3 linked regions of the Mus musculus genome follow. The main gene of each other region encodes a partner of the protein of the gene in region 3 in a complex. Links are inferred from orthologs where the notes say so. Each region holds a gene or a part of one and is shown on either strand. Other genes may lie near its edges.

Region 1 (5,600 bases), on a different chromosome or scaffold from region 3:
ACTGTCCCCAGAGCTGGGTGTGTGTGTGTCTGTGAGACTGTCCCCAGAGCTGGGTGTGTGTGTGTCTGTGAGACTGTCCCCAGAGCTGGGGGTGTGTGTGTCTGTGAGACTGTCCCCAGAGCTGGGGATGTGTGTGTCTGTGAGACTGTCCCCAGAGCTGGGGGTGTGTGTGTCTGTGAGACTGTCCCCAGAGCTGGGGGTGTGTGTGTCTGTGAGACTGTCCCCAGAGCTGGGGGTGTGTGTGTTTGTGAGACTGTCCCCAGAGCTGGGGTGTGTGTGTGTCTGTGAGACTGTCCCTAGAGCTGGGGATGTGTGTGTCTGTGAGACTGTCCCCAGAGCTGGGGATGTGTGTGTCTGTGAGACTGTCCCCAGAGCTGGGGGTGTGTGTGTCTGTGAGACTGTCCCCAGAGCTGGGGGTGTGTGTGTCTGTGAGACTGTCCCCAGAGCTGGGGGTGTGTGTGTCTGTGAGACTGTCCCCAGAGCTGGGGTGTGTGTGTGTCTGTGAGACTGTCCCTAGAGCTGGGGTGTGTGTGTGTCTGTGAGACTGTCCCTAGAGCTGGGGATGTGTGTGTCTGTGAGACTGTCCCCAGAGCTGGGGGTGTGTGTAGGGATGCATGTGTCCCTGAAGACATTTCTCTAGTCCTGGAATGAAGTATTTGTTATAGTGTAAGTGTATGTAGTTTTCTGCCCTTTTCTTGTCACTGTTAGAGATGTGTGACCTGCCACAGGAACGTGCTGACGGTATTTAGATCTGTCAGTCTTGTTAGGCCATGCAACAGTCACACTTCCCATAGTTGTAAGTTCATCTTTGCTCTTCCTTTACGGACAGTTCAGACACTGACGTGGTGCGGTGAGATGGCATTGACGCGGCTGAATCTGCACTGCTGTCTCTGCAGTGCATCTCTGCAGTCACCAAGGGGCTGGACCTGTCAGTGTCTTAGGACTGTTCCAGTCTGACGCTGTTCAGAGTGAAGAATTAATATTCTGTGAGAGAACAGCAACCTTTGGTTAAATATGGTTAAGAATATTCTTTAAGGAAAAACAAAACAAAACTGTGCAGGTTGGTGATGAGACAGCTCAGGATAATGTGTTTGCTGTACAGTCCTGGCCATCTGAACCTGATCCCCAACCACAGTGCAGAAAGAGAGCCAGCTTCCTGCTTCCCTGCCCTCTGCAGCCACAGCTGCACCCTCCTCCTCTTCCTCCTCCTCTTCCTTTTCTTCTTTCTCCTCTTCTTCTTCCTCTTCCTCCTCATGTCCTGTTCTTCCTCCTCCTCATCCTCTTCTTCCTCCTCTTCCTCTTCCTCCTCTTCTTCCTCCTCCTCCTCCTCACCCCCCACTTATGTGTATATGCACTTATATGTGTATATACACTTATGTGTATATGAATAATAAAATTTTAAAAGCTTTTAAGTATTTGCCTTTGGGGGTAGAAAACTGAGATTTTTTTTCCCCTCAAAATTGTTATAAAAGTAATAAAATACTATTATAAACCTAAAAGCATAGAGTGTGGAGATCCATCTTCCTACCAAGCTTGCTATCATTATTTGTTTTGTGGTTTATTTTCTTTTTGACTATCCCATTAGAATTTTTTGACTAGAGATACTGAGATCATTATGGGATGGTAAATAGAGGAAGTGCAGAGCTGAGTGTGTTCATGACTGCATTGGTGACTGAGCACAGCAGATTGTCGCCCTTTTCTTATGTTTGGTCTGCTATGTGAGGCATTCAAAGAACAGCCTTTAGATAGGCCCTGCAGTCTTTTATCATCACTAGTAAACAAGTATGCTGTTAGTAAAATACACCCAATTTTCATTAACAGAGAATTCTTGAATTGGAAACCTCTTTGGAAAAAAGTTTACAAGAAAGCAAAACACAGTCAGAGCATCTGGCTGTTCATCTGGAAGCTGAGAAGAATAAGCACAATAAAGAACTCACAGCCCTGGCTGAGCAGCATAGGACAGAAGTGGAGGGCCTCCAGCAGCAGCAGGACAGCCTGTGGACTGAGAGACTCCAAAGCCTCTCTCAGCAGCATCAGGCTGCTGTGGAGGAGCTCAGAGAGAAGTATCAGCAAGAGAAAGATGCACTACTGAAGGAGAAGGAGAGTCTCTTCCAGGCCCACATACAAGACATGAATGAAAAGACCTTGGAGAAGCTTGACAAGAAGCAAATGGAACTGGAATCTGTCTCTTCTGAGCTGTCAGAAGCACTGAGAGCTCGGGACCAGCTTGCAGAGGAGCTTTCTGTCCTAAGAGGTGATGCAGATAAAATGAAACAGGCTTTAGAGGCCGAGCTGGAGGAGCAGCGGCGTCACCACCAGCGTGAGGTTGGCAGCATCAGTGAGCAACAAGAACTAACCGTCCGCAGAGCTGAGAAGGCACTGAAAGATGAGCTCAGTCGGCTGGGGGCTCTGCTGGACGAGAGGGACGAGCACCTGAGAGAGCGGCAGGCCCGGGTGCAGGACCTGGAAGCTCATCTTCAGAAGTCTGCCGGGGAGCTCCAGCAGGCCTTGGCCAAACTAGATCTCTTGCACTCTGAGCAGAGCGCCGCACGCGAGCAGGCAGGTGCGTATGAGGAGCAGCTGGCCCAAATGCAGCAAAAGGTGTTAGACCTGGAAACAGAGAAGAGCCTTCTTACCAAGCAGGTAGTGGAGATGGAAACACACAAAAAGCATGTGTGTGAGGAATTAGATGCTCAGAGAGCTCAAGTGCAGCAGCTGGAGAGACAGAGGAGTGAGCTGGAGGAGAAGGTCAGGTCGCTAGCCCAGCTCCAGGACTCACAGCTCAAGAACAGTACTGTGGAGAAGGAGCAGGCTCGGCAAAGCCTGATGGAAAAGGAAAACATCATCTTACAGATGCGAGAGGAGCAGGCCAAGGAAATCGAGATCCTCAAACAGACATTGTCTTCTAAAGAAGAGAGCATTAGTATTTTGCATGAAGAATATGAAACCAAATTTAAAAATCAGGAAAAAAGAATGGAAAAAATTAAGCAGAAAGCAAAAGAAATGCAAGAAACAAAGAAAAAGTTGTTGGATCAGGAAGCCAAACTTAAAAAAGAGCTTGAAAATACTGTCCTAGAGCTTAGTCAGAAAGAGAAGCAGTTCAATGCGCAGATCCTGGAAATGGCACAGGCTAACTCAGCTGGAATCAGCGACACGGTGTCGAGACTGGAGGAGAACCAGAGGCAGCAGATAGAAAGCCTGACCGGGGCTCATCAGCGAAAACTTGATGATGTCATAGAGGCCTGGGAAAAGAAGCTGAGTCAGCAAGCTGCAGAGCTCCGGGACAAGCATGCAGAGCAGATGGAGGAGAAGGAGCAGGGGCTGGGAGAGCTGAGGCAGAAGGTCCGCATAGTCCAGTCTGAAAAAGAGGAGCTGACTAAGGAGGTGGCGCGATTGAAAGAGGCGGTCAGTGGGCAGGACGTGGCACTAGCTGGCCTGCAGGGACAGCTGGAGCAGAAGTCTGCTGTCATCGTTTCCCTTTCGGAGCGTGAATCTCAGCTGCAGTCACAAGTGGAAAAGCTGGAAGCTGATTTGGGTTGTTCTCTGAGTGAAAAGCTTTCCCTTCAAGAAGAGCTGGCTGAGCTGAAACTGCTGGCAGACAAGAGTCAGCTGAGGGTCTCCGAGCTGACGGGCCAGGTGCAGGCTGCGGAGAAGGAGCTCCAGAGCTGTAAGTCTCTGCATGAGCTCAGCAAGAAGAGCCTGGAGGACAAGAGCTTGAACCTCAAAAGCTTGCTTGAGGAGCTAGCATCTCAGCTAGACAGTCGCTGTGAGAGAACCAAAGCTCTGTTAGAAGCCAAGACGAACGAACTAGTGTGCACCAGCCGTGACAAAGCCGACGCTATTCTCGCTAGGCTGTCCCAATGCCAGCGCCACACAGCCACAGTTGGGGAGGCGCTGCTCAGGAGAATGGGCCAGGTTTCTGAGTTAGAAGCACAACTTACACAGCTGACAGAGGAGCAGCGCACACTAAAGAGCTCTTTTCAGCAGGTTACCAATCAGCTGGAAGAGAAAGAGAAGCAGATTAAGACCATGAAGGCTGACATTGAAGGTCTTCTCACAGAAAAAGAAGCCTTACAGCAAGAAGGAGGCCAGCAGCGGCAGGCGGCCTCTGAGAAGGAGTCCTGCATCACACAGCTGAAGAAGGAGTTAGCGGAGAACATCAATGCCGTCACACTACTGAGAGAAGAGCTGTCGGAGAAGAAGTCTGAGATTGCCAGTCTTAGCAAGCAGTTAAGTGATCTCGGTGCTCAGCTGGAGAGCAGCATCAGCCCGAGTGACAAGGCCGAAGCCATCTCTGCCCTGAGCAAGCAGCACGAGGAACAAGAGCTGCAGCTGCAAGCTCAGCTTCAGGAGCTGTCTCTGAAAGTCGATGCTCTGAGTAAAGAGAAAATGTCTGCCCTTGAGCAGGTGGATCATTGGTCCAACAAGTTCTCAGAGTGGAAGAAAAAAGCACAGTCCAGACTTGCCCAGCACCAAAGCACTATTAAAGACTTGCAGGCACAGCTAGACGTAAAAGCCACGGACGCTCGTGAGAAGGAGGAGCAGATATGTTTACTGAAGGAAGACCTTGATCGGCAGAATAAAAAGTTTGAATGTTTAAAAGGCGAGATGGAAGTCAGGAAGAGCAAGATGGAGAAAAAGGAGTGTGACTTAGAGACTGCGTTAAAGACTCAGACAGCAAGGGTCGTTGAATTAGAAGACTGCGTTACTCAGAGGAAAAAAGAAGTTGAGTCCCTAAATGAAACACTTAAGAATTACAACCAGCAGAGGGACACTGAGCACAGTGGGCTGGTTCAGAGACTTCAGCACTTGGAAGAGTTGGGAGAAGAGAAAGACAACAAGGTTAGGGAGGCTGAAGAGACCGTCCTGAGACTACGAGAGCACGTGTCCTCGCTGGAAGCTGAACTTGGAACTGTGAAGAAGGAACTAGAACATGTAAATTCAAGTGTGAAAAGCAGAGATGGGGAGCTGAAAGCTTTAGAAGACAAACTTGAGTTAGAAAGTGCTGCAAAAGTGGAGCTGAAGAGGAAGGCCGAGCAGAAGATCGCTGCCATCAGGAAGCAGCTCTTGTCTCAGATGGAAGAGAAAACCCAGCGGTATGCGAAGGACACAGAGAACCGACTGAGTGAGCTGAGTGCACAATTAAAAGAAAGAGAAAAGCAAGTTCACAGCCTAGAAGACAAACTTAAAAACCTGGAGAGTTCTCCACACCCAGAAGTGCCAGCGGTGTCCAGATCTATGCAAAGTGTGGCAGCGTCTCCCGAGCAAGAGGCTCCAGATTCCCAGGACTGCACACACAAGGCCTGTAAAGAAAGACTCTGCATGCTGCAAAGACGTTTAAGTGAAAAAGAGAAGCTGCTGCGCAGGCTGGAGCAGGGCGAAGGCGAGGCGAGGCCATCGCAGCCTGAGGCTCAGCACAGGGCGCTCTCTGGAAAGTTAGACTGCACTAGAGCCAGGCAGCTTGAAGATCACGTTTTGATAGGATGTCTTCCAGAAGAACTCGAAGAAAAGATGAAATGTTCCTTAATTGTGTCTCAGCCCATGGGAGAAGAAACTGGTAACAACACAGGGGTGAAGCAGAATTGGGCAAGTGTGGTTGA
Region 2 (5,816 bases), on a different chromosome or scaffold from region 3:
CCCCCTAGTGACCAGAAGAATGCAGTTGTCTGTCTAGATAGTCCTTCTTCAGAGAGGTCATTTCGTGTGTTTGGGGGGGTGGGGGGGAGGAGTGAGCCACAGAAGTGTATGGTTTTATCTAAGAGAAACTGGTGTCAGAGAACTTGGTCCTTTAGGGTCTGGCCGACATCCATCTCACAGCACGTCACCCTCTGGCCCTGGTGACGAGGTGGCCCGGGGCATCGCTGGAGAAAAGTTTGACATCGTCAAGAAATGGGGCATCAACACATATAAGGTAAGATTCAAGTGCTTCTCCTCAGAAATTCTCCGTGGGGACCTTTTCCCTTTCCCCAGGTCTTACTGTGTAGTCTTTGCTATGACTAAGAGAACGGGGGTGCTGGAGTAGTTCATTGTTGGGGTGGAGTTTAGATTTCTGACCTCACCCCCCCCCCCTTCCAATCAGTGCACAAAGCAGCTGTTATCAGAGAGATTTGGCCGAGGCTCCCGGACTGTGGATCTGGAGCTAGAGCTGCAGATTGAGTTGCTGCGTGAGACGAAGCGCAAGTATGAAAGTGTCCTGCAGCTGGGCCGGGCACTGACAGCCCACCTCTACAGCCTGTTGCAGACCCAGCATGCACTAGGTGATGCCTTTGCTGACCTCAGCCAGAAGTCCCCAGAGCTTCAGGTGCCTCAGCCAAAACAAAGAGGGTGGGGGTACTGGGCCCTGGTCCTTCCAGGCAGGCTTTCCTCAGCCTCCCTCCCTCCCTCCCTCCTGCAGCCCCCAGGGAGAACCCCTCTGGGGTGCGCCCAGTCCTGCCCCCAGCATCACTCACCTATGGAGGCAGCCTAAGGGTTTGTACAGAGGCCCAGAAGTTGGAAGGGTTGTGGGAGAGGGCTCACCAGTACCTCATAAGTAACCTGTCTCCACATCATCAAGAATGCCTTTGGTGCTTGGCCTAATCAGATTCCCTCCCTGCCTGCTGCACTAGCTCTCCGTGTTCTGTCTTGTAAACTCACCTAAGAACTCGTACTCCCCACACTCTTACCTCAGGCATCGCCAAGGGACCCTACTAACTTTGTGGCTAAGAGAGCCTTGCTAGAGGCAGTCTGGTTGTTGTAGTTTTGATGGCTGTTTCTTCTTTGGGATGGAGGGATATGAAGGGCTCTACAGCTGCAGTCAGGTAAGGAGTGTTACTCAATGCCTGTGCCTCCCTTCTGCCCTTAGGAGGAATTTGGCTATAATGCAGAGACACAAAAGCTGCTGTGCAAGAATGGGGAGACGCTGCTAGGGGCTGTGAACTTCTTTGTCTCTAGCATCAACACACTGGTCACCAAGACCATGGAAGACACACTCATGACTGTCAAACAGTATGAGGCTGCCAGGTGTGGGCCCACGGTTTGGGAAGTTGGCTGGCATGGGTGAAAATGCAAACATTAGGGGCATACAGATTCAGAAAGGAAAGGAAATATGAGTGTGGATGAAGAGGTGGAGACCAGCCTTTATCACCCCCTTCCCAGGCTGGAATATGATGCCTACCGGACAGACTTAGAAGAGCTGAGCCTAGGGCCCCGGGATGCAGGGACTCGTGGTCGACTTGAGAGTGCCCAGGCCACTTTCCAGACCCATCGGGACAAATATGAGAAGCTGCGGGGAGATGTGGCCATCAAGCTGAAGTTCCTGGAAGAAAACAAGGTGCTGCCCTACTCCCTTGGTCCTAAGTCACCTAAGTCCTAAGACACAGTACCTATCCCTTCAGACCCTTCTGATTGTTGGGTGCGGAGCTGCCCCTGGCTAGGGAGTGGGTTGTTCCCCTAGCCCCTTGAAACCTGAGCACTTTCAGTTCACCCTCCTCATCACTGGCTTCTAGTCCCAGTAGCATAACTGAAAAAAACATTGCCCCTTGGCTGGGGTTCCAGAACCCTAAACCCAGCAGATTAAGTCAGGTTTCTTTCTTCATATTGCCCCTTCTCTTTTGACTTCTTGAAAACTCCCTACCCCAAAACACTGTCAGCAGAGTCTATTTGCTCTGGACTGTGTCTGGGCTTAGGCTTGTAGCCCCTCCCTGAGGGTGCCTGAGTCTAGCCTTAGCTGACCCTGCTGGGCCCCCAGATCAAGGTGATGCACAAGCAGCTGCTGCTCTTCCACAATGCCGTGTCTGCCTACTTCGCTGGGAACCAGAAACAGCTGGAGCAGACTCTTCAGCAGTTCAACATCAAGCTGCGGCCTCCAGGAGCCGAGAAGCCTTCCTGGTTAGAGGAGCAGTGAGCAGCTCCCAGCCCAACTTGGCTATCAAGAAGGACACTGGGCGGGGCAGCCCCAGGGTGGAGGAGATTGGACATGGGATGTCCTTTGCCACTTACTTGCTGGCTTGGGCTCGTTTTTTCTGACTGGGGTCTGACACCAGTTTTGCCCACTGCTGTGGTCTGAAGAGGCCCGTAGGCCCGTAGGCCCAGAAGCTGCTGTCCTGCCCTTTATCTTCCTGGCCACTGGGCTTCATTCCCAGATCTTTTCCTTTCACTCCACAGCCAAAGGCTATGACAAAACACTCCCTGGCCAATGGCATCACTCCTCAGGCCTATCCCCAGCTCTTGGGATGTGCCCCTGACCAAAGACAGGACCTCAAAAGGTTCTGTCAGCCAATGGCAGCTCTTCTTGGGCTCCTCTGGGCCAATAGTGTTGCCTCCAGTACCCTTTGTTCCCTCCTCAATGTGTGTCCATTGCAGAGAAGGGGACTGGGACCAAAGGGGTGGGGATAATGGGGAGCTGCATTTGTGGCCCTGCATCTGAATGGGCCCTCCCCTCATCCACCCACCCAGTTGAACTGTGCTTAGAACCCCAGAAGACTGGGTTCTAGCACTAGGAATAAACCTTTCATAAAAGCAGGCCCAGTGAGGTCAATTTGTGGGGGACTAGAGGAGGGTGGATTGGTAAGAAATGCCCAGTAATCTTGCATTCAGTTCCTATGAATTCAGAAGAGCTGCAGCTAAGTTTGAGAAGCTGCCGAAGGCCTGATGCCCCTCACTTTCAGAGCCAACGCTTTATTTTTCTCTTCCCGTTAGCACCAAGGCAATCTATGTGTCTGAAGAGCATAGGGTCCAGAGGGGGTTGGGCCGGCTAACCATCATGCATTCAATCATACAGCCGATGTTTACTGAGTGCTTTTATTTGCCAGGCACTGCGTTAGGCCCTGGGGAAACATCAGTGAATAAAACGCAGTCCCTGCTCACAGTGCTTAAGGCCTAGTGGGGGATAGAGACAAGTAACCAGGCAACTACAATACAATGAGAAATGCTAGGATACAAGATGCAGTGGGAGCACCAGATAAGGGGCATCTAGCTTAGACTGAGGTAGGGATGGCGATGCCAGTTTAAAAGCTGAGATCTGAAAAGTAAGTAGCGAACAGCTGAGGAAGAAAGGCCAATGCTCATAAAGTCTGAATAAGAATTCAGTCCAGAATGAAAAATTAAGTGGGTGAGAGACAAGAGGCAGACTTGATCTTTGGAGAAATGGAACTAAGAAACCTCTTAGAGGTCTGGCAGCACGGGAGAAGCGAAGTGTAGAGAACATACTTCCTGGACTATTGGGTAGCCTAGTGACCCTTGCTTGTCACTCTAAGCATGAACCCTGCCTGAGCTCCTTCACATCCAGTGAGTAGCTACCGCAGAGATAAAGGCATTCTCACCGCACCTGCTGCAACCTGCACTGCTCTTGTTGAAGTCAAACCTTAATTGTATAAGAAATCACAAGAAAACTCCCAGCAGCACTTTAGACAGGGCTTGAGTGCGGTCAACTACAGGTCCAAAGACAACTGCAGACTTCTTCAGCATTCTGTCCCCTCTAGAGGGTGGAGAAAGGGGACCAACCCAGTCAGCAGGTTCCCACAGCACAGGGTGCACACCACTCTGACTTGACTCTTTGTCAGTGATAACTGCAATCCCCAGCCAGGCTTCTGGGGCTTTAATTAGCCTTTATGTAGTCAGCTGTCTGCCTTGATTATTAGAGGTGCTGGTTCTCTTATTAGCCCCCTACTTTATGGGCCACTGAGGATTTTTGTTGTAAGGGCATTGAATCTTCAAATGGTTGGAGACAGAACCTGAAAGCAGAGCCCAAACATGGCTCCACCATTTTCTAGCTGATTAGGATTAATGCCTGGGGAACATAAGCTCGCTCCGCTCCTTCCGTTGTAAAGCTGCTAATAAAAGCAGCTACCGATTACGGTTATGCGTATTAAATGAGATAATGTATGTAAAGTGATTAGCTCTGTCTGGCACGTAATAAACACTCAGTCCCTGTTAATGTACAGTTTTTATTGTATTGTACCTAGGCTGTTTTTCCATAATGCAATGATTCTGAGAATTGCTCTGGGTCTTTGGTGTAAGGAAGGAGTCGCGCTGGATGGTCTAAACCAAATTTCCTCAGGCGGCACCTGAGGAACCTAAAACCGAAAAGAAGTCTCCCACTTGGCCTGCAAACCCCTTCTCCTAGAGTTCTGGGTTGAGGTACAGGTGGTCCCCCTCCCTCTTGCTCAGTGGAAACCAAACTAGCAGATTTCACAGGAGCCTCCGGGAAAGCCCAGGAAGGAGCGACCAGAAGCAGCAGGAACGGACTCTCGGAGTACTAAAGCTGGTTCTAGCTGCTTTTACTTGAAGGCATCAAGTGCCACTATCAGACCTCAGCTACTCACCCTCGCCCTTAGGCCTCGTGAGCCAGAGGCAGCAGGCGAGGATCCCGGATCTAGGATCTAGGATCCGGGATCCGCTTGCCAGCTCCAAACCGCACCGCAGAGGGAGAGCCAAGAGCCGCAAGGGCGGAGGGGCTGGCGGGCGTGGTCTGAGAGGTGGGGGCGTGGTTGGGGCGGGCCTTCGGCTCCGGAGTCGCCCCCTCCCCCGACCGGTCCGCAGCCCCGCCCCGGCCCCTCCCTCCGGCCTGTGCGACGGGTCCAGCGGCAGCGGCGCCGGCGCGGGGACAGACGGAGGCGCGGGACGTGGGGCGGCGCCGCGGGCAGGGCCGGGCGGACGGGCGCTGGCAGCGGGGGCAGCGCTGCGGGCCGCTCCGAGTGGCTGCAGTCCGGGCCTTGCCCTCCCATCCTGCTCCCACGCCGTGAGTGCGCCGCGCGGGCCCCAAGGGTGCGTCTGGTCCACCTGTGTATCGGGGTGCGGGTCCTGGTGCTAGCGGCGGTGTGTGGGTCCGAGCGTCTTTGGGTGGGGGCGCGGATGCTTTTCAAAAGCTGTTCCTGTCTCTGTCCACGTGAGGCGTGTCCGTGTCTGTGAGAGCAGCGGGGGATTCTTTGGGCTGTGGCTGCTCACGTGAGGTCCGTGTTTGCGGGCTGTGTGGTGGGGGGAGGCGCGGGTGGATGGGTGATGGTTCATTTTAGGAGCGCGGGTTTTGGGAGTCTCTGTGTTGGCGGAGGGTACCGAAAGCTGCGGCCGATGGTGTTGGGGGTGGGTGGGTGGGGTTGCTGATTGGCACTCTGGAATCTTGTGGCCCCGCTCGTCCAAAGGGTTCCTTTCTCCTGAGTGCAGACTCCTCCACCCCTGCTCCCTTCTCCGTCCTCCTTAGGCACCAAGAAGCCCACCAGCCAGGATGGAGGACATCCTTCCTCCACTGCGGGCACTGCTTGCTGGACAGGAAGCTTCCTGCAGAGGCTGTGTCTTGTAGGAAAGGACCCCTCTAGTTCTCCCTTAGCCTGGGCCCTGACTGGAGGACTCCTGTCCCCTCCCTGGTTTCCACCTCCTTCCCCCTGCACTTGGTTTCAGAACCTGGGCCACAAATCTGCAGGGACAGATGGTTGCAGGTTGGAAGGGCAGGCTGCACCCCAGGGAGGTCATTCTGACTT
Region 3 (5,600 bases):
CTGTGGTATCTACGGGTAAGAAGGAGACTGCACTAAGTTACCGTGTCCTTATTCTATTGATGAGAAAATGAACTGGACTCCTGAGGGGCAGTGTCTAAATGTCTGATGATGTGATCTGACTGCCTGACATTTCTCAGGACCTGGGAACTTCACGTGTTACTGTTTGCTGTTGAATAACATCTTTCATTGGAAGCAAGAGTATCTACCTGTGCCTTCAGGACAATGTTTTGATATTTAATTGGGCATATAGCTTTCAAAAGGCTAAATGTTTTGCGGACCTAATTTACAAGATGACATCAAATACATTTTTGCTTTTATTATCTTGTAGGTGGCTTTTTCTCAAGTATTTTTTCCAGTCTCTTTGGAACCAGAGAAATGAGGATTTTAATTTTGGGATTAGATGGTGCTGGAAAAACAACAATTTTGTACAGGTTACAGGTTGGAGAAGTTGTTACTACTATTCCCAGTAAGTATTGGTTTAATAACACTTTTCATGTTTCTATCTAATACAGCTTTCTGAATAAACGAGTCATATGATGGGGGTTTGTAAACTTCTACTATGGAAATGATACTGACAATGCTTAAAAAAAAAACCAAAACAAAACAGCTAAGAAGCATTTTGGTGCAATTTAAGGTTCCCTGCCTAGGTATACAAACAGGCTTCTCTGTTTAGAGCTATAGTTGGTTTAAGTCTCTAAATCGTTACTGCTTAATGAAGATACTGTCTGTCTACTGGATTTGAGGAGTCAATGAGGCGTATAAAGTACTTTGCTAACTTGTATGTTGATGGATGTAGATGTTAAATCGGTATTATTGTACACAAAGCACCTTTTTTTCCTGCATATTTATTGCCTAAATCACAGTGTAGTTTCTTCTAAGTAATTCTGTAGATCACTTTTAAAACTGGGAATTGTAGAAGCAGAGCATTTGAAATGACCTGGCCCCTGAAACCAAGGAGAAGAAACACCGGCACTGTAGTTTACCTCCCGCTTGTGGCCTCGTTATTCCTGCTGTCTTAGAAAGTTATTTGTAGAAAGTCCTTCCTATTTTACTACTTGGGGGTGGATACTCTTGGTGTTTACACCTTTTCATTTGTTGAGCTAAATTTAGAGAGATAAGATTAATATATTTTAATTAAGTTGAATCTGTAGAACTTGCTCAGGATTTTAAATTGTGTGCTTTGAATGATTCTGTTAGACATTCCCATTACGTCACTATTAAACCTTCTGGGGGTTTTTCTCTTTTGCTTTTAACAAGGAGTGTTTGGACTTTGTAGCATCTGTTATCTCCTTCTGCAGCCTTTTGCCCATTTCCTTTCCTTTGATTCTTACTTCCGAGATTCTCTCCTCTCCACATGGGCAGGTTTTGGTGGCCTCTGCAGTGCTCAGTGCTACAGGGCCTGTGGACTGCAGTGTGGGCTGTTTGCACGTGAACAGTTCTTGACGGTGGTAGACATAGACCTGCATATGCCTAGTTCTGAGGAAGACAGGAACTTGCTTTTTAGTTTGCTACTTTTGCCATGGTTTTATTTTTCAGATGTAATGTGCATGCTTACCTGCCAAATACATCATTTACCAACACATCATTAAAGATAGGAAACAAAAATCAGTGGTGGTCGTAAGTCAGTTTCACTCTGACTTTGTTTGTCTCTTTTCTGAGACAGGATTTCTTTTTATAGCCCTGGAAGCCCTGGAACTCACTTTGTAGACCAGACTGGCCGGCCTCTGCCTCCTAAGTCCTGGGATTAAAGGCCTGGCCTGACTTTTTCTTTTCTTTTTTTTCTAAGTTTAGGAAATGAGAGCAAACTTTGTACATGTCCACCCTAAGTGTTTTCAAAATTACTTTCTCCCTCACTTAGATTTTCTTTGAAAATAGTTTCTGGTTTCAGCTGTGTGGTGTCGAGGCACACCTAAGAGAGGCACACCTAAGAAGGATGGCAGACAAATGGGATGAGATATTGACTGTTGAGCTATGACCTTGTTACGAGTGAGCTCTTGAGATGCCCATAGAGGGTCTGTACGGCTGCAGCCTGTAGAGAGCATGGCTTTTTTGAATCTAGAGCCTAGTTTTCTATATTGATTTTCATTATTCACTGTCTGCCAGAGCTTCAGCTTTTTCTTTCTTTCTTTCTTTTTTTTTTTTTTTTTGGTTTTTTGAGACAGGGTTTCTTTGTGTAGCCCTGACTGTCCTGGAACTCACTTTGTAGACCAGGCTGGCCTCGAACTCAGAAATCCGCCTTCCTCTGCCTCCCGAGTGCTGGGATTAAAGGCGTACGCCACCACGCCAAGCTTGAACTTCAGCTTTTGAATCTATAACTGTACAAGACTTTCTGAACACTTAGATACCAGTGCTCAGGGTGGTTTAATAGACTTCTGGGGCTGGGGAAATCTACCTACTGCATGGATGTGGGACCATAATTGTGAGTGCACAATTATGATTCCAGCAGGGAGGAGGCAGACTGGCAGAGCAGATGTCTGGGGCTCGATAGCCAAGAGAGAGAGAGAATGAATATGAATATGAATGAATGAATGAATATGAGAGGATATTGTCTTAAGTGTTATATTAATCCAGCCCATAATGTGACGAGAAATTACAAGCAGTTGCTAAAACTCAGTGAAGTTGGACACTTTGTAAAGGTAGAGTATATTAGTTTACATATATGTTGATTTGATTTCTCTTTCAGCTATTGGATTTAATGTGGAGACGGTGACATACAAAAATCTCAAATTCCAAGTTTGGGACTTAGGAGGACAGACAAGTATCAGGTATGGTGTAAACACCAGATCATTTGGTGGTATTTAACATTAATGGCTCTTAGTGCTGACAACACTAAACCAAAATATATCTCCTGTTGGAAATTAGATATTGTCTAAAATATGGTAGAATTTGAAACTGCATATCTTCCTTAGAGCATCCAGTGATTAAAATCTAAGGAACTCAATTTTTCAGAAAAGCACTTAAATGAAAATTCTCTCACGAGAACCCGGAAGTTTGAAAAACTGGCCCCTTGTTTGGGTTTTATCCTTGTCCCCTCTGAGAGACTGTTTGGCATCATGTAAGTCCATGCAGGCTGATAGAAATGCAGGAACCTCCTGAAATCTAGTACTTGGCAAATGTCAGTGACTGGAGGACCAGCTTAGAGTATTAATAAAGTTGCTGTTAAAAATACTAAAAATACTGGTGCACATCTTTAATCCCAGCACTGGGAGGCAGAGGCAGGAGGAGCTCTGAGTTAGAGGCCTGTCTGGTCTACATATCTAGTTCCAGGTCAGCCAGGGTGAGACTTTCATAGAAAACAAAATAAAAGAGAGAGAGGGGGGGGGAGGGAGGGAAAGAGAGAGAGGAGATTGATTAGTAATACAGTCAACTGAATATTCTGTTGTTCAGTGACTCATTTTATTTGGTAAGTTACCTTTGAGATGATTATTATTATGGTTTTGTTTTTGTTATTTTGAGACAGGGTCTCTCTGTTATCCTGAAATTTGCTCTGTAGATCAGCCTGGCCTTGAAGTTTACAGAGATCAGCTTGCCTCTGCCTCCAAGTGCTGGAGTTATGGGTGTTCCACCACCTGATTTGAGATTTTTTCTAATTGTATACAATTCTACTCCTGGTTGTTATTAGTGATTAAGGACATAAAAAGTCACATTAAAATTTGTATCTTCTTATCTTGAAGTTCAAAGCTTGAAACTGTAGATTTATGTCTGTAATTTAATATTTATCACTTTTCTGTCAACCCAGTCATACTGAGAGTGATCAGAAACGGTAAATCAAGCCGGGCTGACAAGTAACCCATCTCCCATCATTGACCAAGGCCAGCATGTAAACTGACATGTCAGGTGTTTTGCAAGGAATAACATGTTTTGAATTTTTTTTAGGCCATACTGGAGATGTTATTATTCAAACACAGATGCAGTCATCTATGTCGTTGACAGTTGTGACCGAGATCGAATTGGCATTTCCAAGTCTGAGTTAGTTGCCATGTTGGAGGTAAGCAGACAGTTAAGTATGGAGGGACTAGAGGGGTCACTTACATTTGCTTACTTTTTCTTGTGTATATTATCATGTGCAATAATAATTAAAAACACTCAAAGGTATTTTCTTCCATTCTTTTCCTTTTTTTTTAAAAGATATATTTCTTGGGGGCTGGTTTAGTGGTTCAGAGCACTGGTTGCTCTCTCAGAGTACGTGAGTTCGATTCTCAGCACCTGTATGGCAGCTGGCAGTGTGCAAGTGACAACTGAGCCATCTGTTACTTGAGTTCCAGTGGATCCGCAGGCATACATGATGCATATAACATCCTCATAAAAAGTAAACATGAAAACACACACAGATACTCAGAGACGTATTTATTTGTATATTTGTTTTGTCTGCATTATGTGTGTGTACCATGTATATGCATGGTATCTGTGGAGGTCAGAAGAGAGCATCAGATGCGCTGGGAGTGGAGATATAAATGATTGTGAGCCTTTGTGTAGGCACTAGGAATCGAACCTTTGTCCTCTGCAGGAGCAGCTAGGACTCTTTTTTTTTTTTTTTTGGTTTTTCGAGGCAGGGTTTCTCTGTGTAGCCCTGGCTGTCCTGGAACTCACTCTGTAGACCAGACTGGCCTTGAACTCAGAAATCCGCCTGCCTCTGCCTCCCAAGTGCTGGGGTTAAAGGCGAGCACCACCACACCCGATTAACAAGTATTCTTAATCACTGGGCTAACTCTCCCTTAAAGATTTTATTTGTGTGTGTGTGTGTGAGTGTGAGAGAGAGAGAGTGTGTGTGTGTGTTTGGCTACACGAATGGTTCTATACGTACCTGTTGCCTGAAGAGGTGGGAAGAAGGTGTTGATTATACACAGCTGTAATCTACCATGTGAGTTTGGGAATCAAATGTGGGACCGATGCCTACATAAGCAGCAAGTGCAGTTAACCAGATCCATACCTGTAGCCCATTCTCTCTCTCTCTCTCTCTCTCTCTTCTGTGTATCTATCCTCCATCCCTTCTGTTCTTTTTATAAAGTGCATGTTTCAGCCAGGCGGTGGTGGCGCACACCTTTAATCCCAGCACTCCGGAGGCAGAGGCAGGCAGATTTCTGAGTTTGAGTCCAGCCTGGTCTACAGAGTGAGTTCCAGGACAGCCAGGGCTACACAGAGAAACCCTGTCTCGAAAAAAACCAAAACCAAAAAACCAAAAAAAAAAAAAAAAAAAAAAAAGTACATGTTACTTCCTATTGGAAAGATAGATTGAATAAAAATCCAGCCCTCTAGCTTCTTGTAATCATTTCATTAGTCTCAGAAAACTCAGAGCTCTTAATTTAAGGTAAGCCAAGTTAAGTTACTAGCTTGTGTGTGGTGGGCGTGTGTGTTTGCGTGTGTACACATTTGTACATGGAGGTCAGAACACAGCTGTGTAGAGTTGGCTCTCTTCTACCTTTATGTAGGTTCCAAAGATGTCTCTGGGGTTGCCAGGCTTAGGAGACAACTTTTACCTCATGAGCTGTCTCGTTGCCCAAATAATATGACTTTTAAAAGACTTATTTTTATGTCTTTGTCTTCGTGTTTGTGTCTGCATGTGTGTGTTGATGCCTTCAGAGGCCAGGAGAGGGTGTCAG

What was found. Proteins that work in one complex are often made in the same cells at the same time.
Region 1: the proteins of Arl1 (region 3) and Golga4 are in contact, whole or in part, in a crystal structure (PDB 1UPT), measured with the Homo sapiens proteins. The link is inferred for Mus musculus from reciprocal best matches to the Homo sapiens genes ARL1 and GOLGA4. Residues at the interface, in NP_001168.1 of Homo sapiens: Ile49, Gly50, Phe51, Gln64, Trp66, Ser73, Ile74, Pro76, Tyr77, Cys80, Tyr81, Ser83, Glu115; in NP_002069.2 of Homo sapiens: Thr2173, Glu2174, Glu2176, Tyr2177, Lys2180, Val2181, Glu2184, Glu2190, Thr2193, Lys2196, Val2197, Thr2200, Val2201.
Region 2: the proteins of Arl1 (region 3) and Arfip2 are in contact, whole or in part, in a crystal structure (PDB 4DCN), measured with the Homo sapiens proteins. The link is inferred for Mus musculus from reciprocal best matches to the Homo sapiens genes ARL1 and ARFIP2. Residues at the interface, in NP_001168.1 of Homo sapiens: Glu17, Arg19, Gln38, Ile46, Ile49, Gly50, Phe51, Asn52, Val53, Glu54, Thr55, Gln64, Trp66, Ile74, Tyr77, Cys80, Tyr81; in NP_001363487.1 of Homo sapiens: Phe205, Thr212, Lys216, Thr217, Asp220, Asp278, Ile281, Lys282, Phe285, Leu286, Glu288, Asn289, Lys292.

The regions. Positions count from the first base shown.
Region 1 is NC_000075.6:118,553,752-118,559,351, forward strand, and holds part of Golga4 (golgin subfamily A member 4), read left to right. Parts: intron 1-1,821; coding exon 1,822-5,600. UniProt on the Homo sapiens protein: Involved in vesicular trafficking at the Golgi apparatus level. May play a role in delivery of transport vesicles containing GPI-linked proteins from the trans-Golgi network through its interaction with MACF1. Involved in endosome-to-Golgi trafficking.
Region 2 is NC_000073.6:105,632,667-105,638,482, reverse strand, and holds the end of Arfip2 (arfaptin-2), read left to right. Parts: intron 1-155; coding exon 156-274; intron 275-442; coding exon 443-664; exon of another isoform or gene 665-757; coding exon of another isoform or gene 758-829; exon of another isoform or gene 830-921; intron 922-1,204; coding exon 1,205-1,362; intron 1,363-1,497; coding exon 1,498-1,672; intron 1,673-2,089; coding exon 2,090-2,245; 3' UTR 2,246-4,282; downstream 4,283-5,816. UniProt on the Homo sapiens protein: Plays a role in constitutive metalloproteinase (MMP) secretion from the trans Golgi network. May have important functions during vesicle biogenesis at certain cargo subdomains, which could be predominantly utilized by secreted MMPs, such as MMP7 and MMP2.
Region 3 is NC_000076.6:88,733,215-88,738,814, forward strand, and holds part of Arl1 (ADP-ribosylation factor-like protein 1), read left to right. Parts: intron 1-328; coding exon 329-466; intron 467-2,683; coding exon 2,684-2,765; intron 2,766-3,876; coding exon 3,877-3,988; intron 3,989-5,600. UniProt on the Homo sapiens protein: GTP-binding protein that recruits several effectors, such as golgins, arfaptins and Arf-GEFs to the trans-Golgi network, and modulates their functions at the Golgi complex.